Drosophila melanogaster: one gene and its partner. The protein of the gene in region 2 interacts with the protein of the main gene of each other region in a pairwise test. Each region holds a gene or a part of one and is shown on either strand. Other genes may lie near its edges. The genes, in order: CG15059 and CG13733.

Evidence for each region.
Region 1: the proteins of CG13733 (region 2) and CG15059 interact in a two-hybrid assay, tested with the Drosophila melanogaster proteins (2 studies listed by BioGRID).

What each region holds. Positions count from the first base shown.
Region 1 is NC_004354.4:18,252,154-18,268,331, forward strand, and holds CG15059 (uncharacterized protein), read right to left. Parts: upstream 7,365-16,178; 5' UTR 7,296-7,364; coding exon 7,014-7,295; intron 6,951-7,013; coding exon 6,789-6,950; 3' UTR 6,398-6,788; downstream 1-6,397.
Region 2 is NT_037436.4:17,476,949-17,493,073, forward strand, and holds CG13733 (uncharacterized protein), read right to left. Parts: upstream 1,979-16,125; 5' UTR 1,859-1,978; coding exon 1,001-1,858; 3' UTR 847-1,000; downstream 1-846. Other genes in the region: qjt (quijote), read left to right, coding at 2,414-3,115; CG6333 (uncharacterized protein), read right to left, coding at 3,297-3,917.

The DNA of each region.
Region 1 (16,178 bases), on a different chromosome or scaffold from region 2:
TTGAAGAATCCATGTCTGGGAAGACGACTGCATACTGAACACTGGTCACTGGTCACTGGACACTGAGCCACTGAACCCAGCCGACAATTAAACAAAATTTGATACAGCCAACTGAACTGTGAGGGGAACGGGATGGGGGTTTTCAGGGTTTTCAGGGTTCCAGGGGTTCGGTTCGGGGTATTAGTTGCATTTTATTTCGAGGTTTTTGAACTGCTGCCGCCAATGTTGCAGCTCTGGAAAAAAGACGAGTCGAGTGTCCGCGCATAATTGCCAAGGGGTTTCCACCTTCGTGTTTTCTTTTCTGTTTACTTACAATGTTTTTTTTTTTTGTTTTTTTTGCTGGCCCACGCGAAAGGAGATTAGGAGGAGTGAAGGGTCACCACCTGCCCTAGACCTGGTCATTTAGCAATCAATCAATTAGTCAACGGACTGCCTGGCTAACTTATCTCTCCGCTGATCACCACGATTATGATGATGATGACGATGATGATTCAGATGTTTCCATTGGCGTCAATCAATAAGCGGCTAATTAAAATGAATCCTAGTTCCCAATCCGAGTTGGCTAACTGCAGCCAGACGAAGCCGCTTCCGGAGATTGAGGGGGACTGGCGATGGGGCTTCTTGGTGCTTGGGACTTGGAGCTTGGCACTAGGGTAGCAGACCATGGCCAATTATAACCATGGCAAAGCGAGGCGTTGTGCCAAAAATAAACGCGGCGCACTCATCGTTTCCTAATAACCCAATTAAAGACCGTGCGAACGACCTACGCAATGAACTTGGCCCCAGGTGAGACATGCGTCATGCGTAGATGACGCCACAGAGTTAGAGAGTGGAGTTATATTTGGCTGGCAACATGGCGAAAAAAAAAGATACGAAAAAAAGAGCTTAGCTTTCAAACACGCGCCGCTTCTTTCATGACGTCACAAGCTGCGAAACATCTTGACCCACAAAGCGTATGGGTGGAAAAAAAACGGGTAGTACGACCAGATATTTGAGGGCTAAAAATAAAAACCAGTATTGGCTGGAAAATAATCAATAGCCCCTAATGAACGCGGAAAATCATAGCTCGTCAAGATCACCGGATCGTGTTGGTTAATCCCTCCTAACCAATGGTTGACTATTTTTAGAGCGTGCCTATAGCACATAGTTTCACAATATTACCTATCGAATGGCGCTGGAAAATCCTAACCTAAGTCAAGTTGGAATAAGTTAATGCAAAAACCACCAGCTATTCCGTTCCGTTCAATTCAGTTGCATTCAATTCATGGCAATTGGCAACCAGGCCTACTTGTTTACAGCCCAACCCCCTATCCACACACCACACACCGTTCCCATCGCCACCCGCAAGCACCACTACAATAGAATTTCACAATGTGCAATCACTATCTTCGAAAACCCCCCAAGATCACCCACACTTAGGTTTCTTGAAATCGCGCCAGCTGACGTAGCCGGCTGAAAACATGAGCTGTCTCATGTCTCTCGCGGAATTGTGGGGTAAACATCGATCGGCGACCTTTGTATATCACAGCTGTTGGGGCAAAAAAACAAGGGAAGGGGGGGTGTTGCTGTTTGTGTAGTGGAGGGGCAGCTCCAATGACGTCAAGGCACGCGACTCGCATTTGTTAATTGGAAGCCCGCCGCCAGGTGAGATGCCAACTCAGCGAGCGCAGCAAATCGAAGCCCCCGCAAAAAGCGCCGAACGAAATCGGAAAATCAGAGTGCGCCGTGTGTGTCGCTAAGCGGGGCAACCACCTGATGAGTCAGCCGCACCGCAGCACCACCAGCTCGGTGGTTACGAGCATATTGGTATTGATACAGTGGTAATTTGTATCGGTGGTTATCACGGGAGACACGACTATAATACGGCTGGCTACACGGCAAGAAACAGGGACGGGCTGCCAGTGCGGCAATCGCAATCTAATCGAAACACACTTCGCGTGCGAAATTGTTTGGTAGGAATGATGATCATGGGACCAAATGATTATCGGCAATAAAGCAATTTCATTTTGCACAGCGACCACGTTTATTAGCTGGTTAAATATGTATCATGAAATACAATTTAATGTATTGAAAATGCTCTTATTAAAATGATCTTATTAATAAGGTTTTGTTTTTGGCACAATCTGGGTAGAGAACTTTGTGCCCTTTGAATACAAAAATTGAAAGTGAAATGAGCTATACTTTATAATTAAACTGCTGTTAAAAGTTCATCGTGTAAAACTGCAACAAAAGTTGCTGCAATTATATCATACCAGACCCACCCAACATAATCGTATCTTCGTATTTAATCCTTATTTTCTTAATGCTATTACGTTTAATCCAACAAAGATTTCCTGATCTTAGCCGGAGAACTTCTGGTGTGAACTTATACTTTATAATATCTATTTATATCGTTTATAACATACTGACATACTTGCATGTTGAATGAGTGCAAGCTGGTCTTATCTTATCGCCTTACTTTTCTCGCTGTGCAGCGGACACAAATGCGCCACCTGTTGCTGATGCAACAAGGTCGTCCGGTGTTATCATCGCTGCTCGTCTTATCGCAGCAACACGCCCCCGTAACGGAGGCTCGTCCTATTCCCATTCCCATTCCCATTCCTATTCCCAATCCCCTTTTCATCCACATTGCTTAATTAACTTATTTGACATTTCATTTACTCCCAGGCGCAATAAGTTTAATTGGGCAACACGACAATCAATTGCAAATGCCAAGTGCCAAGTGCCGAGTGCCGAGTACCACTGCCAGGTCATAAATCGACGCAATCCGCATTCAATCTATTTAATTGTCGCCGCTGACGCACGGTCACAGGTAGGCCATAGCCGGTGATAAGTGGATGCGTCAATCTGGAATCTGGAGCGGATGGGGCACTTCCGAGCTAGCCCCTGGTAACGGTAACGCAACCTTAGGCTACGCCAACTGGCCAAACATCCAGCCATCCGAACATCCAATCATCCGACCAAGGCTAAGGTCAAGAACACTAACAAATTGGTTCCTGATAACGGGAGCACTCGAAGTTTTAATCGCTGGACATGAATGGATGGCTACCAAATTTGGATGTGCCGACATCATGCCCCTAAAAATGGTTAACCTAACGGCAATTTCGAAATGGAAAGCAATCGAAATGGCGACACGTATCTGTATCTCGACTAGGGCATTTCATGCCCACGGCAAACGCATTCCAAACTCTTTCATACCATTCCATTCCATTTGTATTTTTGTGTTTTTTTTTTGTTTTTTGGCATTTCGCGGCCTGATGAAATATAAACGGGGTAACAAGAAGTGAGAACAGAAGAGCGGTCATAAATAAGCGCTTTGATCGAAATCGGATTTTTGGCAAATACTGCGCTCTGCTTTTAATTTGTATGCATAAATAATAATTATGAGTGTTTCCCGGAATCATTTGCAAAAGGGTTGCAGTATTGGATCATCATCGATCGATGGATCGATCGATCGATTTGCTAAACTAGGGTTCTGGGAATGCATGTGGGCGTCATCGAGCTGACTCAGTATGAGCTATTCTGGTGCTCCTGGCTTCCCAGGAGCAAGCCATTCCCCGAGTCCGGAGTAGATAAGCGCCTTTGAAGTACGAATACAAAAAGATACAAATGATATCGGGCGCATTTCATTTCAAATCCAATACAGCTGCTCAACTGGAAGCCGCCTTATTGAATCTAATCATCTAAAAATGATATGAAATTATGTTATAAATATTTTATGACCCCCAGCAGCAGCAACAATAACAACAATAACAACAATGGATGGGGCCAATCAAGCGACAACAACAGCAGCAACCACATAAATATCACGTATTTTAACGCTGTTTTCGGATCGTTTTCTCATTCTTTTCTGTATTTTTTTGTATCTTTTTTTTGGTGTTCGTTTGTGGCGGCTTTTGCTGTTAATCATTTTGTGGTCTCCACCATTGTTGTTGCCGTTGTTGTTGTTGTTGCTGTTGTTGTTGCCGGTATCGTCGAGTTAATCTTGTTAAAACAAACCGTTTCAATAAATACAGCGATAATGCAATTTTAATGCCATTAAGATGAGCACCAATTATGGCCAGCACCAGAGAATCAACTATGGCCAGCTGCCCCTTGTGCTCCCCGCGATCCTTTTGGGCCCGTTTCATTTCATCTTTGGCCGCAGAATCATTTGCGAATCCTTAAAGCGGCGACGGCAAAAGTTTTACATCCCAACCCACATGATTATCGAGCGATACCCTAACTTCTTGAAGGGTATAACCCATGGAGATCTTTAGTTTGAGCCTTTAAAGCTTACAATCTTTTAAATGGTAAATTCAATAATATTTTATCAAATTTATATCACTAATATTTCTTTATAGTTATAATATAACAATTTATATATAGAATTGTTTTCTGTGCATCAAATATACATATCTGACACAATATCAAAGTATATCATTTTCAATTGTGTAATTACTATTTATTTTTTTTAATTAACTTATTCACAACTTTATTTATAAAAATTCAGAATAGGTGGTAAAACTATTTAACTAGAAGGTATTTATATTAAAAACTTGAATGGTAACAATACAATTCGGAGACCTTGTGGCAGGACATTCAGCAGTCGGCGCGTCAGCTGGAACGCTCTTCCTCCTGACTTCGCCCCATCCTGCTCCATCTCCGGACTGGCTTGATGAGGGGTTTCGGGGATTTGGGGAAACGTGGTTGGAGTGGAGCACGGGCGGATCGGGGCTGAGGTCTGGGGAGGGGGCTTGGGGGATCGCCTGGGATCGCTGCCATATCCATCTCTGGTGCGTCTTGTGCGCAGGCCGCGCTTAATCCGCTGGCCGAGTTTGACAGACTCCGCGAGGGGGCGGTGGGGCAGCGGATTGTTTTTTATTGTTTATTTAACATTTCTGCGCTTTTATTTCGCGCTGTCCGCGCTCCATCGCCCCGCCACCGCTCCCTCTCCGCTCACTTCTCCGCCAGTGTTTGTCCATCGAACGGATCGCCGGTCTCGCTTTGTTGTTGCTGTTCCTTGCATTTTCATTGTTCTTTATGATGCTCATTTAAAATTCAAGCTTTGTTTCATTAAGAAACACGTTCGTCCCAGTCCCAGTCGCAGGCCCCAGTTCCCAGTTGCCCCGATCTCCTGCTCCCCTCCTGGAATCACTTCTCCTTCCCATCCGCATACTCATTCTCCTCCTCCTCCTCCTCCTCCTCCTCCACCTCCAGTTCACCGATCTTGGCCATTCCTGGGCCAGCGCCAATTTCGACATTAACGCCGCCGACGGCGCTACGCAGCTTGTTAACGTTTTTTAATGCCCCGATTCAAAGGTTAACAATCAGACTGCGACTGCGACTGCGGCTGGGAATGGGAATGGTACTGCGAATGGATATGGGTATGGGCATCGGCATGGGTATGGGATGTGGAGCGGATGACGGCGGAGGCCATTGATAAGCCGGCGCTCATTAAAGATGCCAGGAATTTTCACAGCTCTCCGGCGAAACAAGGCCCCCGGCCCTCCTTCGCTCATTCCGTGCTAATCCCGCGAGCGTGTCAAAGGGCCCTCGACTCCTGCCCTCGTCCTCAATCTCAACATCATCCTCATGCCACAAAATGTGCGATCCTTACAGCTGCATCCTTGCCATTCTCTCTTTCTTTTTTTTTTTCGATCCCCTGGCAGCTGAAACACTTTGGAGGTCGAACGAAAATGATTTGTACAATTTTGTAGTACATAATTGATTTCGTTGAGTGGACGAGATTGGAATCAACAACTAGGGATTCGGATTGGGATCGGGATCGGGATCGAGGGCGTTTACCACCAACCACCAACGCTGGTGGTCAAAGTTCGAGTGGATCTGGAGCAGGGCACCTGTTATAACTGGCCATAACTACTACGATCACCCAATCTGCGCCAGTCTAATAGCTCAATTCGCAGTCCCATAAAAGCCAAAAGGCCAGGCCAGGCCAGAACAGACGACCAGCTTTGGATATCCATCCGTCCATCCATCCATCTTGGACACTTGGACTCTCAGGGCGAGTCGTAAAAATAAAAGTCATTGACTCAATTTTGGAAATGCCTCACACACGACGAAAGCGAACATAAGCCGCACTCCACCGCCGAAATAAAAAAGGGGCAGAAGGCAGAAGGGGGGCGTGCCAGCAGGCGCTTGTGATTATCCTTTCGCACGTTCGGCGTTGCTTAACAAATCATAAATATGGCCCGGGCTCTGTTATTGATGGTGGTCGCTGGACGCAAAGGGAAAAAACCACAGCGCTCAAAAGAGTGGGCAACAACAACAGCAACGGGGGGAGCAAAAAAAAAAAAAAGATCAAGAAACGAGAACCAGGTTTCCACCTTTTTTATGGGGGCCCCCAGCTTGAGTCCAACTGGACGACCAAGAGCAAGAGCAAGTCCAAGTCGAAGTTCCAGCACCACCTCGCCCCACCAAAGGCTTCAATCATTTAATAAGCGCTGCCTGCCAGGTTGTTGCTTGTTTGGGCCACGACAAAAGAAGCCTTCCGCCATGTTATTAACTTATTCATAACAATAACGAGAGCAGCACGGATACTGAACGACGGACGGGGCAACACCTCCTCCTCTTCCTCCTGGTAGTCCACATCCTCCTGCTGCCCCTTCAGTTGTGTGGGATATAAATTCAGTCGTTTCTGGGCTATTTCCACAGAGACATCTCAAAGAGAACCCTACCAAGCCTTGCACTGATCTATCTATACATATCGTAGATCTCTGCCAGGCTTGGTAGTGTATCTCTACAGGATATCATGCCTAACTACTTTGACTGATCTTGGAGCAGGATCCTTACGGCTCAGGACGAGACAGGCTAGCGCTGAAGATGAGACTCTGCCTTCTTTCTGGCGATGGCAGTGGAGTTGGAGCAGGCATTGGTCCCGACTGCTTTCTGGGTGTGGAGTTTTCAACTTGGAGGATTTGGCAAAAGGTCCGGGTCACGACGAGATTGTTCTGTGGGGGAGATAGCTCATTCAGCGGTCGTCCAGTCAGTTGGATTGCAGTACTGCTACTCACCTTTCGGGATTGCGGGGACAGATTTATCTTGGACCTACCCAGCAGACGACCCATTTCACAACCCATTCTGCCCAACGGACTGATCCTAGCATCTGCATTTGCCTGCTCCTCCTCGGTTTGACGCCGCTGATGGAGCAGCCACTGCGTCCTGGGATCCTTCAAGAACTCATCGTTGTGGATGAGCCGGTCCAGCTCGGCAATGCCGCGACACAATCGCCGATGGTGGCTCAAACAGCGAGCCAATCCCGCGTTCACCCTGCTGATTACTGACGAATTTGGCATTCTATTGCAACGAGATGGGGAATGTGTTGTCTTAAAAAAAAAAAAAAAAATCACAATAGTTGTGGGGCTCGCAAGGGCTCTTTTCAAACGTTCTCAGCACGGCCTCCCTGATTGGATGGGGGATTGGGGTTGGCTTATGATGGAGCTCCAGCATATTTGAGCTGTGAGTGTGCCGAGTATTATGTCAGTTCATCAATCAAACGCACCGTCGCCACAATGTCGATGATGAGTTATGATCTGCACAGAAAGCGCTCTCAAGAAAGAAACAGGACAAGTCGGCGATATGTGTGCATGATGTAGGGTTGATCTGCTGGGCAGAAGGGTTCATTACGCTGATTGCTGTGGCAGTAATAAAATCTTATTGTCTTAATAATTCGAGTGCTTAAATTTCGAACACAATGCCGGTAAACGGATTTGAGATGCTCGAGAGAACAGGACTCTGGGATGCCCTAATTGCTGGCACTCAACGGGGAGAAATGCGTGTGTGTGCTAAAGTCACGACTTATCATCAGACAATAAAAGGGAAGCCAAGTGAGCGACACTTGATCTTTCCTCTATTCCTAGACCCTTATACCCATTTCCCATTCCCATATTCCAGTGCCTATCACCTACCTATGTGTGTGTACTCGTACTCGTCTATCTGGGCTGGCCCATCTCTGCTTAGCTGCGTTTTGGCCGCAATTTATCACACGCCACTTGTAGCCGGTTTTTTGATCTAATAAAAACTGTCAAAACGTTTGCAGGATGCTGGGAAAATATTTACACGGCACACAAAGTGCCAGAAAGAGAGCGTGCGAATGCGAGTGCGAGTGCGAGGTTAGCGTGAGGGAGAGGTAGAGAGGCTGAAAGGGATGGGCCCGGCCCGAAACAGTTAGCAGCGAACAAAGGGCCCAAAAGGATCAGAGATCGAAGATCAGGACATTGGGCGAGCAACGCAGCAGCAGGTCAAGACTTGGGCGGTATGACACATCAGGAATCAGCCTCAAAGATTTAGACATTAAAGGACCCACACAGCTGATTGTCCCGATCCTGATCCATGGTGTTTCTACGCTTCGGCTGTCTATTGAAAAGATGAAAGTGAATTTCCCTTTTTGGGCAGCAGCAGCAGGAAAATGCTCTAAGAAAAGAATGCCATCCAGTCGGTCAATTGAAATGAAATGAAGTGAAATGAAATGAGCGGGGAGCGTTGAGCGTTGAACGCTGAACGCTGAAGAGTTCTGGGCGGCCCCTGCACGTTTAGCTATTTTTATGGAGTTCCCGGGAATTGTCGCTGGCTCCGTCTACATGGTCGACACCGACTGCTCCTCGTTCTGTCGAATCTCGGAACGTTTCTATTAACACGGCCCCGGGGCATTGTTGGGCCGCTCTCGGGATCCGTTTCTACTTTGCCGCCAGTGGGAAAAGTCGACTCGTCTCGACGGCGATTGAAACTGAAACTGTCAACGCGCCGACGCCAAGTGGAGAAAAATGTCACCAGCGTTGCGTAGTTGAGTGTGGTAGTAGTGAGACGTCATTTCGGCGAGCATTTCCTGTCCAGTCACCAGTGGAACTCCCCCATCTCCGTCAGCATCAGATTCTCCCTCCCATTCGCGCACATTGCTCAATGTCAGGGGTTGCACAAGCGAAGAAGAGACGCGTTGACCTTGCCGCCGGTTTAGTAGCCGCCAAAGGGGAGCTTAGCCAAAAAATAAGAGGGAAAAGATACAATGAAAACGCCAAAAGGTCTTTGGGGCCTTGCGAAACGTGGCGATCGTAAAAAACGGTTAAGCACTTGATTTATGGGGTGTTATAAGGTGTTAGACCTGCCCAGGTACGACTAAGATACAAAGACAAATGCAGATACCGATACAGATGCTGCCACATCAAATGCCAGATGAGAGTGCACAGGCATCTTGAAAGCCGCCCGATCGATCTACTGTTTAATGTGTAACAACAAAGAAAAGAGTTTAAAAGACCATAAGATCCATAAGGAAATTTTCAAATTAAATTTCAAAACCCTTTGAAGTCTGCGAGCGCTCTAGTCCTCTTTATATATATAACTATATACCACAAATACTTGCTTGAAGAGACTTCTGGATGCAATAATTTGAGTAACTCTTATCTTCCTTCGACTTTTGCCTATGAGGGGGGGTCTAGCTATGAAATGATCCCCCTGGCATTGCATAGTTCTAGGCTTGGCGGGGCTAATTTTCAAGGGAAGCGTGTCCGATCGCCACGGGCCTTCTTATCGCCACCCAGTCACGTCGCCGTAATCGGTTGATAAGCGCAATCAGCGCCTAAGAGGCGGCAAGGGTTCGCATCGCGGGACTCGGTGTCGGAATCGGAATCGGATTCCGTTTCAGTTCAGGTTCGCTCGAATTAGATATAATTAGGTGCGAGTGCAGGCAGGCGCGGCAATCGGAAATCAACAACAGCAGCAGCAGCAGCGGCAGTGGCAGTGGCAGGAGCAACAATAACCACAATGATGATGGCCACAAGAGGAAGTTAATCCGTGGCCATAATCGCAGCATAGCGCCACAGCATGAGGCAACCTCGGAGTGCCACTTCCTCGCCCCCTTGTCCACACGCCCTCGTCCACCGCCAGAAGAGGGGCTCCATTGAAGTGTCAGCAGTGCCACACATCGCTGGGTTCCCCTCTGTGCGTCGGCGAGGGTGTCTCCGATGGTAATCTCGGCCTGCTCTACTCCACGCTACACTGCAGATGCACACGGGTCCACTGGCCATGTGGGGTATGTTAAAGCAAAACTTTAAATCATTATCTTCTGAATGTAAAAACTGAAAATGAGCTTGTTTGCTTATCAGCTATATTCAATATCAATTTTATCAAAGTTGGAATATGGCTCCATCTTGGGTGCTAAATCTAAATTTTAACCCTAGTGCACTTAAACCTTGAAATACCTTACTAAAATATATATTTTTCTATATATATTTATATTTATTTGACCCTTCTAAAAATCCAACTAAATATTTAAAAGTCAGGGCATTTGCAGTGCGATCTCAGCTGCAACCGACGATGGCCAACTCTTGCAGACAATGCCAATATAAATATTGTGTAGCACTTTAACATTTAACAATACAACGGCAGCAGCAACAATAACATGCGATAGCTGCAACAACAACTGCTCAGAGCCATAATAAACAAACAATTACGGTTTCATTTTGTTGCAGTTGCAGCCCGGCAGTGGAAGTTGCTGCCTGGCCCTGGTATTGCAGCAGTTGCAAGTCTCCATATTGGCTAGCAGTGCCACTTGGGCCTGCCCCGCCCCCGAATGCCCCACCAGGGGGCACTGCTCCGCAGATTGTTGCAGCAACAGCAACAGCAGCAGCAGCAGCAGCAGCAGCAGCAACAGCAGTTCTTGTGGCATTTTGTGCGACTCACACAGCAGGGAGTCAAAAATTTCGCACAAAGGCTCGAAAAAGCCACCGATAAGAGAGTTGCAACAATGGCACTGCAACTGCAACAGCAATAACTTTGGCCAATCATGGGAAGCAAATCGTTGTTGCCTAGCAAAGGACGAAGCTCCAACTGCAACTCACTCTCACTCCTTGGGGCTCGGTGCGGATTTTTTTCAGCTCGCCAGTTGTCTAAGGCGAACTAATTGCGGGCGGCACTGATTACTCATACGCCCCCATGCCGCACATACAAAATGTACCGCAGCCACTTCCACGCTGTCCAACTGAGATGCCGAACAATGACGGGCGGCAGTAACACGCGAGGAACATGGGACAAACAAGACAAGAGGCCGCAAATATTTGTTAAACTTGACACCAAACAAAAGAATTTTACCGAAAGGATTTGAATGAACCGAAAAAGCGAACAATGTAAGCGCTGCGGCACCGCTGGAATGCGACAGAGCTGCGTTCGGTGGTGCGGTGGTTCAGTGGTGCGTGGATGCGAGGAAGCGAGGATGTGCGGATGCGAGGGTGGAGCGGCTGGGGACTCAACAGGATGGAACAGGACGGCGAGGCAGCAAATCAAACACAACAAATCGCCAGGCAAACAACACCGAAATCAAATTGTACAGCCAGGCAGGCCAAGTTTAAAGGCACAGTGGGGCAAGTAGTAGCGTTTCATCTGTAAGCATTAGATAGAAGTAAATAATATATGTTATTTTGACACAGGGTATTCAGCGCTTTACTCTGGGAATATGGAAAGGTGTATAAACTAGGTAAGTTACTGATACAAATATTACAATATAACACCTTTAGCTTTAATAACAAAATCTTATTGCTGATATAAATAAATTTAAAAGGATTAGTCTGCGATTAAATGTATGTTACCTTATTCACAACACTTTAGGTCTTAAGTACAATAAGTTCAGTTTGAATCCTGATTTATCCCTATGGAATGCTTGCCATTAAACTGATGATTATTCAACTACGTGACCAAGGCATTTCAACCAAATTTTCAACCACTGTGCCTGGGGAGTCGCCTCTTGGGTTTTTTGGGTCTCCGGTCCCTCCAAGTGCTGACGCGCGCCGATCCTGGGCCGCCGCGTCGCTCGAAAGGAGTTCGGATCTCTAGATGGGATGGGTTTGGGTTGGGATGGGATGGTGCCTAAACCTAACGCAGTTATCAAAAGCGTTGAATTATGGCCGCGTTTGGGCTGCCAGCTAAATGAGCAACACGTTGCTGCTGCTGGTGGCTCGTTTTCGTGGCGCTATCGCATTTGATCTCTCGTTTGCCGGTCCCTGGGATCGACAGGCCGACCCGCAGGCTCTGGTTTTTGGGTTAGGGACAAAGATAGGGATAGGGATAGGGATCGGATGGTTGGATGGCTGGCTGGCTTGCTGTGGCTGGGTAGATCCAGGGTCAGAAGAGGGAGAGGGAATCGGATTCAGCTAACAATGCCCATGATATCATTCATTTCTCATTTCGGTTTCATTCATTGAGCGCTGGCCAAGTGTCGCCGAAGGTTCAGTCTAATTTCATAATAAGAAACATCTTCAGGCACACAATAAACGAGCGCGCACTTCGTGTGTATTTCTTTCTTGTTCTCTGGTGTGTTTTTTTTTTTTTTATTTTATTTTATTTCATTTTTTTTTTATGGCCAACTGTGGCGGTGGAATGCCGCTGGAATGTCGGACGTTTCCGGTTGGCCCAGAACACAGAACTCCGAACGTAGAGCTGCAGAGGCTTAGAACCCTACGGAGGGTCAAAGTGCCATGGATGATGAGTCAGTGGATCTCTCTCAGTGTGTCTAGCAATTCGTATGGCCTCAAAGCTTAGAGACGCAACCCTTCCTAATTACTGTCTACCCGGATTCATTTCATTCATCGCGGACCTTATAGATCAAAGTTGTCCAAATATATACCCCCCAACTCCAGCGCGCCAACCCTGCCGATTTGAATAAAGGGGCTACGGAATGATGAGGCGGCGTCTGTTCACACGAGCAGGCTGACGACGGTTGATGGCCCTGGCAACCGGCAACCGGCAACTGGCAACGGATGGGAGCACAGCCACATCCACATCCCAAGTGGAGCCGACCGATCCCAGACGACTCCTCCGTGTTGCTCAATGTGTTGAAACATGAATGAATCTTGTTCACAATTTGGCAACAACACGTTTAGCACGAAACGAAGGACGACAATGGCCCAAATGCAGGGGAGCCCCTGATCCCGATCATTCGGCTATTCGGTTTCGGTTTCGTATCCATTGTGAGGCGGTCCTGTCCTCGAGTAACGTGGTGGGGTGCGAGGTTTGGCATAGGGAACCGGGACTCTGGACTCGGGACCCGGCTTTCCTGTTCGGCGGCGTCGCGAACACAAATTATTAGCAGCCCGTCTTCTTAACCAGTCACCGGTTGCCGGTTGCCGTTCGCTGGTTAGTAAAACATCATGTCGCTGTTAAGGGTACCAGGCACTGGGTCAGTATGAAGGAGCAGCACGAGGAGCTGGCAGAGCTGGATGGGCAGGAGATGGAGGGGTCGAAAAGCGGAGCAGCCTCTGTGGTCCAATTTGGAGTCGTCTTCGCTACCATTGTTGTTGCCTCTGCCGGCGGCCAAGAGTCGCAGTCCGGAGCTGGAGCTAGAAAATTATCTGCTTATCTTGTCTTGTGCTCGTTTCGATCGGCTGCTTATTCATGTTCTCGTGTCCGAGTTGGGCATCCCATACACTACCTCGACCATCGGGCATAGCCGACGGGGCAAGCGGCAGGTCTATAAGGTCTGGAGGTCAGGTGGGGCAGGTGGGGCAGGTGGGGCAGGTGGAATACCCTCCCAGTATGTATTTACCATACTGTTTGGTATGGGTATGTTTTTTTTTTTAGATTTTATATCTTACAGGGAGAGGTTTAAATTACACAGAAATATATTAATTTGAAAATATTCAAAACAAAAGTAGCTTAACTGTTTAAATAATAGTATATTTAGGAAAAAATGTTATACTTTTGTACTTAAAATTAGTTAAATTATTCCATATCAAACGAAACTATCATGTCAGTATTTCTTAAATTGAAATATTCAACCAAGGAATGTGAATACATTTAATAATAAATCTATATATCATTGATTATTTTGATAAGCTACAGCTGGAGACTTCGTGGCATAAAATATTAAATTAAGTTAGTTGAAAATTTCAGCAATTCCTTTTTATGTTTTTTATTAAACCTATCAATGTAAGCTAGCAGAAGTAACTCAAATTAAGACCACGAAGTTTGTTTTAATCCAAACTGATAATCATAGGGCGTTTGCTGGTGGCATAGAGCTGAGCAAATCTGTAGCTCAAAACCATTTAATATCATTTGCCAACAATTTAATAAAAGTTCTGCCAGGCATCAAGGTATCTCCTAGTCGAAAAAGCGCACTGCCCATCGCTTTTACTTGTTGTGTATTTAATTTATGTGCTCGACGTGACACTTGCCAAGGGCCCCTGGCATTGGCGATGGTGGTTCTTGGCTGGTATGAGTATGCATATTATAGCATATAGCATATCGGCATTGGCTGGTTAGTGTGGTAAGTGTGGTAAGTGGTAAGTGGTAAGCGGTCAGCGGTAAGTGTTGAGTGGTAAGAGCGAACGGTTTGGGGGGGACGGGCAGCCTAATATGCGACAGCCGCCGCCTGTTAACACATCGGTGAACCTCAAAATATGAAAACCGAAACCGACACCACCGCTGCCGCTGCCGCTGCCGCGGAAGAAACCGAAACCGCAGTGAAGCGAGCCCCGTCTTGGGTTCTGGGCTCAGGTTCTGGGACTCTGGAATCATGGACCCCACGCCGCTTGGCCCTGCTCCTCCTCCTGCCCCGTTTGGCTCCTTGTGCTCCTTTTGCTGAGCCCCTAACGAGGTGTCCAGGCGATGACGACGACAATAACGATGACGATGGCGATATTCGAGCCACTGCCTCTGTGGTTCGATGGTTCGGATGTTCGATGGTTCGGTGGTGCTCGGTGGTTCGCGGTGGTTCGCGGTTCTGCTGCCGAGTGAGAGTGAGACAAGCTGATCCTGGCTGACCGGCCGGCTGGCTGAGTTGGTGATTGAATTTCACACGTGGCTTAGTGTCCGCCCGCATTAAGCACGCTCCGACGAGCCGCAGACAGAGCGAGACGGCTGGAGCAGGGAGCAGGGCGCGAAAGAGAGGGCAAGTGAATTAAGAAAGAGATGCGGCTAGAGGCTGTGGGACGGAGATGCAGATAGTGCGACCGGCTGTTATGCAAATGCGACCGCCGTGGGGAGACGGAGACATCGCCATCTTGGCAGGCCGATGGCTGATCTCTCGCCATCTTGGTCGCCGTCACTGCAGCACTGCACCACCACCTCCATCAGCACCGCCACCTTCTGCTCCTGCTCCTGCTCCTCCCTTCGGAGATCCTGATCCGCTGAGCCATTGTTCTGTGGCTCCTGCGATGGCATTCCCCAGATTAGAGCGAGCGAGAGCGAAGCAGAGAGGGAGCGGGAGAGCGAGCATACCTACATACATGCCACATGCCACATCCTGGGCAATAGCCTCCGATTTTCCATTCCATTCCTCTGGCCGTCTCTGCGTATGAATGAGTTATTTCGGACCTAATCGCTCCGTTTGCATCTCGACCAACGACAAAAATGCCTTCGCCTCGTCTGCGAATCTGAATCTGTCGCCGCCGACTGTGACTGTGACTCCCCAACCTACGGATTGGATCCCCGGCCACAACTGCCAAGACTCCACCAAAAACAGAAGAAAAAAAAATAAGTAAAAGAGCAGAAAAAGATACAAGCTGGTGTCCCCAACAGCTCAGAGACCCGGCCACGTTTCGTTTCAGCCAGCCAGGCTCTTTGGGCTGTCCTCCATTTGATTGAACTGCTCAATGAAATATGCAAATTTGTTGCCGCCGCTTAATCAACTGCAAGGCCTCGGAAACTCAGCTTTTTTTTCCAGCGCTCCAGCATTCAGATTCAGATTCAGCCTGGCCCAGAGGTTTTGGCTTTGGTTTTGGTTTTGGCTTTTTGGATTTTGTGCCTCATCATCATCATCTTCGCAGTCCGACGACGATCGCCGCCTGCGTCTTCGTCTTCGTCTGATACTGGTGCTGCTGTTGCTGCTGCTGCTGCTTTTGGCCAACACATTTGTGGTCTTTTGTGGTCTTAAATATATCCTGCTGGTGGGTAAATTTTTCTCTTCTCCTTTTCCCAGCTGCGGTTATCGGATCGCGGCGAGGGTAAGTCACGACTTTGCCGCCAAGAAGCTGCACTCGCAGTCCCAAGTTCGCAGTTCGCAATCCAATCGGCAGACCCACTGGCCATCACCATCACCCACTACCCACTTCCCCACTTCAGCACTCCGCACTACCCGGCTCAAAAGAAGTCGACAGTTGCAGTTGCAATTTGGCATTTGTACCCACATACGTTGCGAGCTCATCCTCGCATTCATCGCGGGAATCGGTGCATCATCTACACTGAACGGAAAACAG
Region 2 (16,125 bases):
CCCCAATTGCCGGAGTAGAAGCCATATCCAATCACACTCAATTGCTATCCACAAACGATTCCAATTGACCGGCGATTGATTGCCCAATGTCTGCACGCACTTCCTGGTGCAGCATTAGAATTCAATAGACGCCCGACTTCAGCTGGCTCCATTCTGCAATCCCGTACTGACTCATTGCCCGGCACTTTCAGAATTTATGCAATACTGCGGTACGTGCTCTTATGCTAAAATATTGCATTAGAACACCCAGCGAACGTGACTTGATTGCAGGGCTAGAAATAGCAGCACTACCTTTAAGCCCTCGGATAAGCCACTGAGACAAGTCTACCTATTCTTCTGATTAGTGTTGCTTATACGAACATGAAGGATCCCATAAATATTCTTAAACATCAACTGATAGTCCTGCAACTGTCTAATCCTTCATATAGCCTGAAAATCTACCTAACTTCACAGCTTACTAATATAAACAAAAAAGTTACATCTTTAGTAGTTTATTATTAGTTTATAATAATCAGAGAACATATGCATTTCTTAGAAATTTCCGTGAATAAATGACCATTATTACAAGCACAACTTACGCATTAAACAATAATAATTGATTGATTAATACATATTCATATGTATTAATTACATCATCGGATCATTCAAACTTTCCCAACAAATGCAGTTAAGCTATTGCTTACCACACAAAATAAATCAAAATAAAGCCATCCATTAAGCCGGATCATTAACCCGATTCCATACTGCTGAATGGATAATCCAGCAGCTTGTCAATGAACTTGTAAATCGGGAGTTCCAGGAACTCCGACGCCCGTCGAAAACGAAGTGCTGACTGAAGTTCCGTTTGGTTAGTTTAATCATTTACTGTTCATAAGAGATCTATATATGTATGTACATAACAATTTTTACAGAGATATTCGGTTACAGAAGAAATTTTGTAAAAAGCTTATCTAAAAACCATAAATTTGAATATCCATCAGATAATGGGTACGAAATCAGATCATCCCTCGACAGTTGACTGTTGCTGGTTACTTAACTTATTTTTCAGCGCAGAGGAGAGGCAGTCCAAGTTATGGGATCGAATTTTTGAAGACCTGGGATTCGCCTCAAAACTTGGTGGCTTATCAGAGCCCGCCGAGCTGGAATCTTCCTTATCGCCTTCGCCAAATTTCCGTTTCTTGCGATGCTTTATTTGATCACTCGGCTTGGGCATTGGTAGCTGTTCGGAAGGGATCGATCTGACATCAGCTTTATCGTCATGGTTGTTGTGAATCTTCTGATGGCGCGTTTTTTTAACTTTCTTCTTCTGGAGACTTGCCATGATACTTATCATTTCCTCCTGCTGGGCTTCGTACCTGGAGATGATGGCGTTCCGGCGCTCCAGCTTGGCGGTGAGGAAACCGACTTGGTTCTTGAGGCTGTCCACTTCCCCAGCCTGCTCGGCAATGGTCTTCATCTCGCGGCGCACCCGCTTCATCTCCTTTTCCACCAGTTCGGCATTCTGCCGGACTTCGGTCATACGTTGCTGGTACTTGTTACGTGTGAGATTGATCTGCTCCTCCAGGAAGGCAATGTACTTCTCCTGCTTAGCCACGTGCTCGTCAAGTTTCTCCAGCTGCTGGCTCAACACTGAACACTGCTCGGCTCCACCGCACTCCCGCTCATTCCGATTCGATTGAGCTGCGGCTAGTTCGCTCTGTAGAAGCTGGATCTCCTGTTCCATACGCGCCTGCAGAACCACCTGCTCCTGCCGATACTTACGATGTTGGTTGTGCTTGGAGCGCAGCGAGGACACCTCGCTCCGCAGGAGAACCACCTCGTTCTCCAATCGGGCTTTGGCTCGATCGTGGTATGGCATCGCGCTGGACGAATGAAATTTTGGTAGTCCAAAACACACGGCTTGTCTATTGGAAAATTGCTTCAAGATTGGGGTGTCTATTGGGATTTTGAAGGCATTCAGTGGGGAATCCGAGATCTGACATTTAAAAACTTAAATAAAACGTTGTTATGCAAGCATGCTCCGGTAATTGAAATTTTTTTTGATTACGCAATTCAATGGCAACCTTCGATATTTGTTCCCCTGTAAATAAGATCTGATTTGATATAAAAAAAAGGCATTTACTTTTTATTTCGACCAGATAAAAGTGCCCGTTTTACAAATCGAAAAATTCGAACGAAACGAAAACCGAAAAATCTGTGCTTTCGATTTAAGATCGATATCGTAAATTACGATAAATTCTCGATGATTCCAGTTTTTAAGCGATTACATTCCACGTGGCATTTGCTTAAAAACCTAATTTCAGGTAAATATCAACGTTATTTATAAATATAAGTCCATTCAAAGACCACTAATTAATAGGCTAGCCTAACTAACCATCAGTCTTGAACATTTGGCTTAAATATTCTGGATAAAATGGAATTCAATTACCTTGCTGATTCCGCACTTTCCACTTTAGTGGAAAACAAAAAGTTCTTCAAGGAAATGTCAGATTTCGTGTCCGATTTCAGCGATGGCGGGAAGATCAAGAAGTTGCTCGAGCAGAGCGTTGAGCAGAGCGTGGAGCACGCCGTGAATGTAGTCCATATGAAGATAAAGCACCAATCGCTCAACAAGGCTATGAATCAGGTCAAAAACTCTAGCGCCACCATCGAGGAGTTCGAGGAAGTCTGGAAGGAACGCTCCAAAGCGGTGGAGCAGAAGCGCATCAATGTCAAGAATCTACACGAGTTCAAGAACTTCGTAAAAGCAGTTGAATCAGCAGCTGGTCAGGCGGGTGCGGAAGTCAATGATCAAGCGAATGGCACCGCCTATGATGAGGACCTTATTATGGAAGACTCCGGCAGCGAGGTCTTCTCGTTCTACGATCCCTGGTCCAAGGCCCTGATAAAGAACCCCATGCGCAACAAAATGTGCGGTCACATCTACGACCGCGACTCGGTGATGCCGATCATAATGGACCGCATTGGCATCCGATGCCCGGTGCTCGGCTGCGCCAACTTGTGCTACATCCAGCCAGATCACCTGGTCCAGGACGCCAATGTCCAGCAAAAGATACAACAGAGCATGTCTAACGCGATCGTGGATGTAACTGCCTCGGAGGAGGACGAGGAATAGAACAGATAATGATTGTGCCCAACTCCGTCCTTGTTGAGAATTAACTTAGTAAAATAAAATAAATTCATTGTTGCCATTATTTTATTTTATAATAACTTGTACTTCTATTAATACACATATATGCTAATTTAAGCTGACCACAAAACCCAGTGAAACCACAATGTACACACAAGAATACGATTCACAACATATTCCTGTACCTACTTGTGTTTTCATTGGACTTCTTGGTCGAATGCGAAATTTTCTTGGAGTGAAGATACTGGATCAGCAATTGGTTGGCCGAAGATTGCGGCTTCACTTGGATGTCGCTCCTTTGCAGCTTCTCCACGGCACCGAGCATGTCCTGGCAGTGGTGGCCAATCCGCTTGGCCCGATCCCTTTCGACACTGGCCAGCACCTTTTGCAGATGCGACTCCAGCATGATGGCATTGTTCTTGATGGTGGACACCTGGCGCTCATAGTGCGCCTTTATTCTTTTCATCTCCCGCTGCTGCTTCTCGATGCGACGGGCCTGCATAAGGATTATGTCCGCCAGGTTTTGGCGATCGGTGTGATGCTGCTCTGCCTTACAATCCTGCTGCACCAGGACACCAAATTCTTCCTCGGAGATCGGACTTCCTATGCGCTTCAGGCTGGAACTCGTATTCCGACCGACAGTTTGTAGAGACTGCAATGGTTTCCTAGATGGCCTGGAGGACATCTTCTGAGTCTTTTGCCGCGTATCTAAAGTTCTTCGGGAATATGGCCTTTCATTCGGCAAACCAGGCAATCCATCGTTGCAAATCCTCACGCCCTTGGTCATTTTAAACAATAATTTAGCCACTCGTGAATTCGTTCTGACTCTTAATTTTATTCGAATTAGTTCAAATTTTGTCGATTAAGTGAGGGCAAACGTTGTTTCACCTCTAAAAATATTTAATGGTTAATTGAACTCTTAAGGCAATTCTGCGTAATAAATAAGCAACTGAACTGTTTACTTTTTTATGATATAAATGTTCGATTATGAATCATGCAACACTCAAATCTCTGCAAATATCCTCAAATTGGCGGAAAGTGAAAAAGTCGATCACTTTTACCCTTTTTTTTGTAACGATACTGACCAACTAATCTCAGTTATTTGAAAGTACTATAAAAACCACAAGCAAAATGACTGCAATTTGATAAACTCAGGTTCAAGGTGGGCTCATTTTTGGCAAGATCTGGTCAGAGTTTTCATGATTGTATGGGTTGAACCAGAGTTGAAAGTGCCACGCCCATCACTTGAGGCGACCAACCACACGCAAATAACCATATATGTATGTACATACATGTATGCATATGAATATTTAAGTAGGTACAACAAATTTGCACTTCTTGTATACTTATCTTAATATCTCTTAAGTAAATTTGGAAATAAGGAAAAATGTTTGAAGTTTCATACATTGCTGTCTTGGTTAGAGTATTCCAAAACCATTGATTTATGTTTTCTCTGCCTTTTGGTAAGCATAATTTGTATATTTTTGGCCGCGATGCCGCACACTTGATAAGGGTTATCGATATGCCCATGGATATATGCATGCATTATGTGCGACTGATCATTATTTGTTTTCTTCCCATAGCCTGTGCATCGCATTCGCAAGTTGTAAATTATTTGGCAGCAGGAAGCGGATTTCGTTTGGTTTTCGGGGTGTGGAAGATGGATGGATGGTGCTGGCCGGCGAAAAAAAAGACATTCTTAATATCCTGAATACTCATAAATTCAAAGTACCCCCTTGAGCCATAATTCAAGCAACTTCCTCGAATAATTCGATTCACAGTCCTTCAACACAATGCCAAGGTCTGGTCGTTTATGTCACCATCACTGCCTTCGGCTTTCTATGCTTCCAGTATATTTCTTAATATGACAAACTTCTTCCCACTTATGCAATTTCCATAAATTCAAGGTCAGCCATACAATAAAAGTCCAGACATCAGATACTATATACAACATACCCGGCACATGTGGACATTCGTCTGGCTACTTTTTCGGCAGCCAAAAGATTGAGGAAGAGTAATTTTTCGCCAGAGATGAGCGAAAACATCTGCGGATCAAATATATACATATATTTTAATAATAATAATTTTAAAATTTTTAATAAATAAAAATGATAAAAATAACTCACATTGATTACGTTTCTAATACAAAGAAATGAAATCTGATAAATCAAGAGCTTTAAATACCATAATGATGTTCATCCAAGAGATTCCAATGATACTTTGCCTAATAATTAAAGTCAAATCAAATTAAAAGTTAAAATCGTTTTGGCAGAAAACTGTTAGTAACGATAGATAGTAGTTGAAATGAGAGATTAATACAAATACATAAAATTGTTATCACTGATATAGTTAATGACAATAGTTAAAAGGCTATAAAAGGGTACAATGTAATTGTGGTACTTCAGATAACAAGGCCTTTGAAAATGTTGATTTTAATTAATTTTAATTTTTAATTTTAATTTAGCCATTGTATGTCTACTATACCAAACAAAACAAGAACTTAATTGGGTTTTTTGTAGTACGAAAAATTATGTGGAACCTTAAACATATAAATAAATTTTATACAACTATGTATAATATTATTTTACAAAAATAGCACAGCATTCTTGTGTAGTGAATCAGCAGGGATAATAAAAACAGTAAAAGATTAATAATGTATTAAATATAAATAATAATTATGAATAGGCAAGGAAACTCCATACTTGTAAATGTATAATTTAATTATTTATTTAATTTGGCTTGCATCAACCAGACTCGCTACTAACTGCCAGCTCTATAAATCCCGCATATAATATATACAAAATTCGGCTTTGAGAGCGACATTCCCTCACACCCCTCCGACCCCTTTGCACATGCCGAAAGATGATATCAAAATGCGAAATCAAAACAAAGACCCAGAATTTCGGCAGACTAACCCAAACAACATAAAAAAAAGGTCCAAACCCGACTAGCATCTAAGCCAAGCACAAAGGAACCACGCAGCAGACAGGGAGCAGACAGGCGAACCCCAAACCCAAACCAGAAGTCCAGGGCCTTTTTCTGTCTCGTTCTTTTTTATATATACTTTTTTTTATAAGCCCCTTAGAAGCGTAGACTTCGGCTAGACGAAATTTGAGATGTCTAAAGGACGAAGGAAAGGCAATCAGAACAGAAAAGAAGGAGGAGCTGTCAAGTGCCATCGTGGAAAAAAAATGGAGAAGCAGACGCAGAGCTTGCTGGATTCGTTCGATTTTGTTTCTATCAATTTCGGTTTAATTGCATTTAATTTGAATTGCAGACATCGAAATCAGGTTATATATTTCGTGTTCGGCTGTGCAGCTTGATTTAATTTGCCTGCTAGACGGCCAAAAATCGACGTAGATATTGCGCAATTTGCTCACCCCGAGAGCAACAATCAAATGCACTCGAAAAGTCAAATAAAAGTGAATTGATTTATGGGCTTTTTGTTTGTTTGCACTAAATATTCTTAGAAAAAATATGGTTACCCGCATAAATCAGAAATAATTACTTGAAAATACCCTCATTTGATAGTATATAATAAAAATAAAAACCGTAGAATCTGAAATTCTTGAAGTCTTGCATTTTATCGAAGATTTCAAATGAAAACTGCTGTTTTTGGCACAGTTTTTCCACCCTCTATTGTATCCTTGCCTCGATTAAGCACTTGCGCATAAATCTGCAGAGGAATCGCCAAAAAGCTGTAGCTTTAGACAAGAATCAAAACATATGAAATATGCAACAGGCCAGACACTTCGGTCGGAAATTTGCTTTGCAAATTCTGCTGGTTTTTGGCGACAAATTTCAATTTAACAATCGAGCACAGACATCCGTTCTGGGTGCAAATCGCAGATATATCTATATCGCAAGATACTGGGAGATACAAACGCGCACCAAGTCGGATGAAAGAACCCTATGCAACATAACTCAGCAAAGCAAACTCAGATTTCCGACAAGGGAACCCCCCAGCTCCTACTCGCTTCCAAAAATTTCTGACTTCGACTCTGAGTTATTAAAGAAACGCCATCGAGTGGGGGAAACAAACACAAAGTTTGTTATGTTGCGCAGGCGCAGCCCAGCAACGCCCTCAAATTCAGGGACTCAACATCGGTGGATCCATATGGGGATGCATATGGGGGAGAATCAGAAGGAGGCATCCGCACAATGTTATTGACCCGTCCCAACGGATCCGTTAGCCATCCTCCGCCCGAATGCCCCGCCCCGCCGCAAAAATTCTTATTAAGATCAATCAGCTAAATGTCGGTTTTATGCTTAATGCTCATGATTCACACGGGCAGAAGAGTCCAGGAATCGAAACTCCATGTGGCAGGAATTCGACTTTCAGCCCCTTAAAACACACCCACTGGTACTCTAATATGATGGTTGGAACTTTCAATTGCAAATTCACTATTTAAGAAATAATTAACAAATTATTGGCTAGACTATAAAAAGCATCTATTCACATTCATTTCGAATTTATTTCTAACTCTTTTAAACATACGTATTATCTTTAAATATTTACATTTCTTATAGCTTAAGAAATCTTGTTGTACTTATTCTGTTAGTTACTATTACCTACTAATTAATTCATATTTAAAGATTAATCTTTATGGTTAGTCTGACAAAAATCAAATGCATATTAAAATAGTATCCGAATAAAGATACTTTCAAGATAATTCTCATTTTCCACTTATCCCAAATGCTAAATTCAAATCTCACGTGTCAGCTAAGTTACCCTTCGCATCGATTCCAACTCCAAAAAAGCATGTCCCAACAACTTGTGTGCGAATATAAATAAAAATGTGCATTTTTGGCAGCCTTTACAAAGTTGTCGGCACGTTTTAATGCTGAGAATTTGAGCAGCTTTTTGCCTTCTTTTCATACTTTTTTGGTTACTTAATTAGTCATGGCAGGCACACTCGGGGAATGGGGCGACTCGGAGTGGCAGAGGCAAGTACCCTTATAACGAATGCAAACTGTATTCGATCGAGGAGTAGAATCGAGTGACTCCGTTCAGATCTTATACAATAGTTTTCCCACCCCCCGCATTTGCTTATCACCACTGACACACATTATAGGCCAGCTCCGACTTTTGATCCGTTCTATTCGCTTCAAACTCATCCAATTCATAAGCGTGCTTCCTGCTTTCAGTCAAGATTAAATAAGAACATTTCCCCATCCAATTCCCCTTTCAGTAGTAAAATATCAAGCTCATTAAAAATTAACAACAATTAGGGAAATCGCTTAAAGAAATAAGAATTAGTAAAAGTAATTGTATGGCAAGCTTTTGCTTTTTCTACTTTTTATTTTATTAGCAATAAAAATACCTAATATTTATAGGAATATATGTAATATACAAGTTCGTCATAAGGAAGCCCCACTGCACATACATACCACACCACATTGTGTGCAACACATATAAATGTGAATGTTTATTCCATCTGACAACGGTTAGCGATAAGCCCAGCGATGTAGTCAATACAACAAACAATAAGGAACACTTTTGGAGTTTCGTTGTCGACTTTGTCATTATTTGCTTGCCGTTTGTTTACAAGCTGAAACATTGACACACACACATCAGCTGCATCAGCTGCTCGTGCCCCATCCCACCCACCAACAAGCCCACTCAGAATGCGTAACCCCCTTCAATGTGGAAGCTCCAACACCCATGGGTTCATCTGCGGGTTATCAGCAGCGGATTGCAACTAGAATTGGTTACAAAAAAAGCGAGCCACCGAAAAGGGAAAACAACATTCATCCGGCGGCGGCGAGAAAAGCAACCGCAAAAGTTCAATGCACATTTCGAGGTGAATTTGTTTTTGAGCTCTCGCTCGTCTCGGCCTGCAATTAATTACACAAATCGAACGAGCGTGTTTAACTTGTTTTCGCGTCTAACATGTCACGTAATTAGCCGTCTAGCTGCGAATCGAGCCGATATCGATGGGAGTTTGCCAAAAGAGTAGCCAATAGATACGGCTGCGCCATCGCCTGCGTTGCACTCAATTTGCTTGATTATTGCGCACAGACTTTGCATGAGTACGCGTATCTGACAGTTTGCCTATCTATCTGGCCGCTTGGCAGACGACCTTGCGCCGAATATGCAATTGATACGTACTTTGCACATATGAATATTAATAGGCGACCAGAGAGTTACTCGAGGAATTTCGCAAACTGAATTCCATTAGCCTCCAAGACTGTAGACTATATTGTAAAGTCAGTTGCACCGACAGACAGCAGATGCATAACCTAAGAGATAACCCTTAATCGCAAAAATCACTTGGTAAACACACAAAGCAACTTATAGAAACTATTTAGCACGTTTTGCAAAAAGTATTCCTTTTTAGTACTTCGCTGGAACTAACTAAAATGTAACGAGCATTAATGTAACGAACATTAAACCACCAAAATTCCTCATCATAAACACTTTTCTTTGAAATGCAAAACTTTCAGGCTTTAAGCTGTTCCTCATGCCTTAGTGAAAATAATGTATAGCTCATAATAAGAAATTAATCAATCGAATCATAGACTTAGAATATCCATCACTTCTCTTCACTTTTTTATATTACCCACCCCACCCAGACGAAAAATCTTGGTTGAGTCATTTGCAGAAAATGTATTTTATTGTACATATGCAACAATAAATATTGTGTACTACATGTGATTCGTAAGTTAAAAAACACTAAGCCAAGCTAAGAGAAAGTCAAACTTGTCGAATTTCAATCAAAATAAAGGTCTTTCTATGAAAGAATTGGTACTTCTATCAAAACCACTTCAATTATTCCCTTATAAACGTAATGTATTCTAATATTCCGGTATGCTGAAAGTTTAACCCAGGTCGATCTGTCTGATCTCCAAAATCCCCTTTCCAATTTGATAAAAGAGCGCACGCCACTGATAACAAACAGAGAGAGCAGCCGAACTAACAGAGCCCTAACAGCGTGGGGGCCTAACAGAGCCCCAACAGCTCCAAACAGCTGCGCTGCCGACGTCGACGTCGGCGCAGGCGAAAAGTTTTGGCTGTTTTCAGTTCGCCAGACCGTTTTGCGTATTCGTATTCGAATTGTTACCGTGTGCGGACTGTGCCGACGGGCAGCGGAACTCAGGCGGTGCAACTGTATGTGTGCGGTGCGTGAGAGTGTGTGTGTGTGAGTGCGAGTGGGGGGCGAGAGAGATAATATGTACATTCGGTGTATATATACACATGTGTATACGTATTATTTCTATACGCCGCGATCAGACAACAACAACAACACCAACAACAATGTGGGTCGTGCATATTGAACATATGCAAATAAAACAAAAACAGATAAATGCCAAAAATCTACTACACTTTTATAACCAAAACACACAGAGCGCGCAGAGAGAGCGGCAATAACGATAACAGCGGAGACAGACCACCCCCACAGCGAAGAGAGAGCGTAAGAGAGTGACGGTTAGAAGTATCTTTGAGATACACTAACACAAAGAGAACGCGTATCTGTATCTGCATCTGTAAATGTATCTTCTGGTCTGTGTTTTTCGACTCCTCGTATAAATTGAGCCGCACTTTGGTTATTCTCGAGTTTTTGCTGCTCAGACGTCGCTGTAAGTGCACGCGTCGCTCGACTTTTCGGTTCCGCTCCGCTCCGAATCGGTTTCGTTTTCGGTTCCCAATACCTCCAATATTCCCTGAAAGATACCTGTGTCCAAGAACCCAGTTGAATCCACACATTTTCGTCGTGCAAGTCACAGAAAAAAATTATTAAATTTCTAAACGCTCAATACAAATATTTTCGCACACTATAAAAATATTAAAAAAAAAAAAACTGGTTGACAAATTTGTCTGATCAAAAACCTAAAGAAACTTGTACGAAAACGAATAAAACTAATAACATATTAAATAATCTCGTTTTTGAAGTTCATTAAAACCACACTTAATCAATAAATACATCATTGTTAAGATCCTCAGACCATTTTAACAAAAAATTAAAGTGCCAATTCCATTTTCAGTGAGTGCTTGATAAATTTGTTGTATTGAAACCCAACCGCAAATACAATTTTCAATTGGCTGAGTGCGTGTCTTCAACGCACAAACATACGAATATAGCATTTAATATTGTTCATTATGTGTGCAATTAAATAAAAAAAATTGTGTGTGAAATAACAGAAAAACGAGTGCGGCGAACAGAGGCAGCAACAAATTAAACGCGTAAATTGCGTAGCAAATTCTGAATGAAAAAATTCAACAAAACCAGAAAGCGAAACAGGAGCGATAAGCGTAAGTACAGCTTTAATAAATAAATTGTATATGTTCATAAAATGACAACTTTTTGTGACAACTTAAGAACTTAGAGTTGGATGGCAATTTAGGTTTGTCAATAATAGAGTATAAGAGTATAAGAGCTTTGCTTAAGTGAATATTACTTAGAACCCCAATTAACAATTACTTCAACTTGCATATATATAGAATTTGTTTATTTGAAAATGTGTATTTCCCAAAAACAATTTTTGTATAATGCATTTAAGTCTTGTGGCGAAATAAAATTTCAAAGAGAACGATCAGTGCCAAACAAACATGCAGAACCAGAAATAAGCTCAAAATTCATGGAATAACCTGATTTGGTTTCTTTTCATTTAATTGGGCTAAAGAAATTTCCCTTTTCAATGCTTGCCCACAAGAGAAATGGAAAGAACGAAGCATTCTCTGATTGATGTGGGGAAAACAAAAACAGAAACCCCGAAAAGATATTTCGAAACAAAATAGAGAGGGGCAGACGATGTCTAAGCATTTATCTTTTGGTTCTTCGACGCGGTTCTTGTTATTTTTCTGTTTTCGAAGGGGGGGACTATTCGGGCGCCAGAGAAAGTGAAACATGTAATTTTTTGTTGGAAGGCCTACAAAAATCATACGCCGTATTGAGTGAAATCGTAATGGGCTAAGAAATTTCTTAAATACGAAGGTTAAAAGGGGGCAGAGCAATCAGAAAGCGCACAATACACACTCGGAAATAATGATAAGACGCGCGACGGAGAAGAGACCGGCCAAAGAATACGAAACACACTCCATTTCTCTGTCTTTTCTGCCTGCTTTACTCGGTTCCCGGGTAATTACATACATGCCGTAAAACCAAAATAAATACGCACAGATAAAGATGCACAGATGCAGATACAGATACCGGGTTGGGATGGGTTGGGTTCGGATGGGCTTTTTTCCCGCATTCTTTTTGTGTCCTCGCAAAACGAAAGCCGAATATCGGCGAAATGCATTAAGGCCGAACAAAAGCAAAAACGAAAACAGTCAATAAACGCTGTTTAATCAAATGTAAATGTTTATACCGCACCGCAACTATCGACTCAGAATTACCGACTTTCAGAGCGTCAGAGTTTCACTTTTGTACCTCAATCATATGAGTGTTTGTTCTGGCCAGAAACCAGCAAGAAACACTCTTTTCCGTCTGACCCACATCGGGTTCGTTATCACCGATTTTTATTATCCATTTATATATATTTGCTTGATCGCATTGAATACGTACACATTTACAGAGCCGTTTATTTTTTGGATTTCAAAATTAAACACTTAAAACGACGTTAACACACAGCAGGAAACGCATCTGAAAGTGACAGAGAAATCACTTTATTCTTTCTCGAATTGAAGTTATTTTTTTCGCAGCAAAATTAAAAATTCATGAAGTTACATTATTTTGCTCAGGTTCATAGAGAAAGTCAAATGAGTGCTACAATTTGAAATAAATTAATTCACTTCATTGTGGCTTCTTCCATTTCATTTTTGACTTCTATGTTTGGTTTACCTAAAAAATATGTTTAATTAATAGGTTTGTATATAAAATATACTACAATAATACGTATATAGTGCAACAGCTAAACTTAAAGCTAATGATTGTGTAAACATTAGATTAACAGAAATTTTCATTTAAATGGTTAAAATACCCATTTATGGTGTTTCCCATAACCAAAGTTTCGGAGCTAACTTTGTCTACCTCGCCATTCCCATATTTTTCCATTGTTTCCTTTTAACTTCATCGCCTCCGCCGACCAATAAATGATCAATGGCCCAAAGCATTTCGATTTCAGCCAAACTCATTTAATTTGTTTTTTGATTCCGCTCTTTTTTTCGCCATGCGCCCCAAGTCCAGAAAAATAAAGAAAGATACAAACAAAAACTGGGAAAGAACTACAAAATTCACCTGTAATAACGTCGCAGAAAATGAAGAAATCGGTTGAGAAGCGGCAGACAAAAACACGAATCGAGTAGAAGTGAGAAGACGAGCTACAGATGGAGATGAGAAAAAAGTTGGGGAACTTGAGAGAACAGACCCGAAATCACAAACCAGATTTTCTACTAATTTAAATTCTTGGCATACAAAATATTCTAAAAAAAAAATATATAACAAAAATGAACAAAAGCGAAAAAAAGACAATAACAAAACAAAGTTTTCTGTATTGATTAACGAAACGAAGCGAAAATGGTTTTATTGTCCAAATATTGGCAGACAGTTTCACATAGATCGCACGTATATATCTATATACCACCTTATATTACACCCATTACATATCCATCCTTTAGAACTTCCGTTTCCTCGGAACTCTCTTCGCTTCTGATGGATTGACATTTGTTTTATCTGCCTGACGTTTAAAATAAATTTCTTGGCCAAGAGAGCGGGGTAAAAAACACATTTACTCATCGTTGACACAAAGGAAATTTTCAAGAAGTTTAGTCACTGTATATCGATTTTTACTGGCTCGATATTGCTGTATTCGTTTGCCAGAGCACGTGTAAAGTTGTACACAAAAATAAGTCTTATTCACAAGCCCAAGCTGATAATTTTATATGGTGCTGTATGTATTTGGCATTATGCTAATCAACTGGAGAAACAAATACGTACAGCCAAATCGTCATTAATTATGCATTTATTTTGAGCGTCTCAGGCCGCTGGCTGCGGCCACATTTGATATGAAAACCTCGATTCGCATTTCGAGAAACTGAAAGTTGGCCTAAAAACACAGTTAGGAATTGGCCCTGGCCATGCATTGTCGTTGAGCTGGGCTGGGGTCGTGTTTACCGCCTTAGTCAACTAACTTTAGTCGCCACTATCAGCCAGATGTTGGCCTTACATTATGAATAACTCAAACGGATTTAGCAGTAGTCCCAAAAGATACAGAAAATGCATGCAATGTATCTTGCTAATTTTCTCACTTTAAGAACTGAAATAAGGGATAGTACTCATCGTATGATTACAAGATTATTTCTAACGGAAGCATATTTGTGCAAATGCACAAACTAAGTAGGATGAACAACAGACAATGCTTAATAAAACACACTTCATCCAGAGCAGACATATGTATCTTTTCAAATGCTGAACTTGTCTTCGAAATCATGTGCTCGACACTCCCCAGACCACTCGAACAGCCCCGATTCCCCATGCCAATCACGAATATACATATGAGATGGATTCCCACATTCTCCAGCGACACGCCCTCTCTCTTTGGACGGACAAAAGCAGCCCCACTCGAGATGTATTTGTATATCGGGGACTGGATGCTGGAGCTGGATGGCAACCGTTTGCGAGCGATTAAGGAACCAGAAATCGCACTTGACTTGCTCGTAGCCCCAAAGCCGGGCTGACATACAAAAGAGCCATTGAAGAGCAGCCTAGAAGATGGCAAGCAGCCAGTGGAAGCGGCCAAGAGGAAGACGAATCACGATCATCAGCGGCAATTACCGCACTGTAACTACGCAGCATCCGCAACAACAACCACAATGTAAGCGCGATGCGTGCAGAGTCAAGCAAAAAGTAAAAGAGATTCACATAGATACACAAGAAGCGGGTCTCCAGTTGGAGCCCGTGCTCCTCCTTGCTCCACCCCGGGAATCCGGACTCCCTCCAACTGGAAGCTTGTTTGGCTGCTCGCTCCGACGCGTCTTTAGCAAGTGATTTCAATTTAATTGACAGTCCTTGAACTTGACTTAAACGCAACGCAACGCAACGCACAACACAACACAGCACAGCAACCATAATAATAAAAACACCACAAGCATCCCCATCTCTTCACTTCACTCTCGATTCGCCATTCTTCCAAGTATCCAAAGTTCCTCCTCTTTGCGGGGTCTTTCGATTTTAGATTTCATTAAATTGAAATTAATGGTTACGTTTTTGATGTTTTGCAGTTTAAGCACTTATAGATATTTATGATAATGCGCTTAGGTAACTGAATGGATAATCAAAATAATATTAAAGGTTTTACAGTCCAGACGATTTAAAAAGCTCTAAAAAGTATAATCAAAAGTATATATAAACATATATTTATGCAAAAGTAAAAAAACAGGTTCATATATGCCTAATTCAAAAACTACACAATTAATATTCAAAGAAATATTTGCTAATACATCGATAGAAAGTTATTTCATCGGGGGTTTCTTAAGATATAAGAAAAAATCCATTTGTGAGCATCAATTTACGTGCTGAACTCATAAATAAAACACTAATTTGTGTAGCCTAATTTTAGATATTCCGCAGATAAGCAAACTATTTTTAACCAAAGTTTTAATAATCTAATCAACTCTAAATGACATATATCTATTTATAGAATTATAAAACTGTTTATGTCCTTGAATATAAATGAATTTTGACGAATTCACCATGGAACTGGGTCGATTGCTTTCTTGAGAAATTTCTCAAATTGAATTCTTTAAATTTAAGAGGGACTCTGGAGTTCGCTGTGGCCAACTGATATTACCGCCCTTGTCCCTCTTCTCGCTCATTGTAATCTGCATTTTCCTCCTTCCTTTGTTGACAAAGCTGAAGAGCAAAAAAAAAACCACACAAAAAGGGGCAGCCGCAAAAAGTTGACCATTTGCGATTTCGGCACACAGTATTTTACGGCTCTGTCGTCATATTTTTTGGCAAATAAATCTTTTTAAAACAACAAGCGAAACACAGTCACATATGTACATAAGAGCGACGGATATACAATATATACAATTATATGTATATATACGA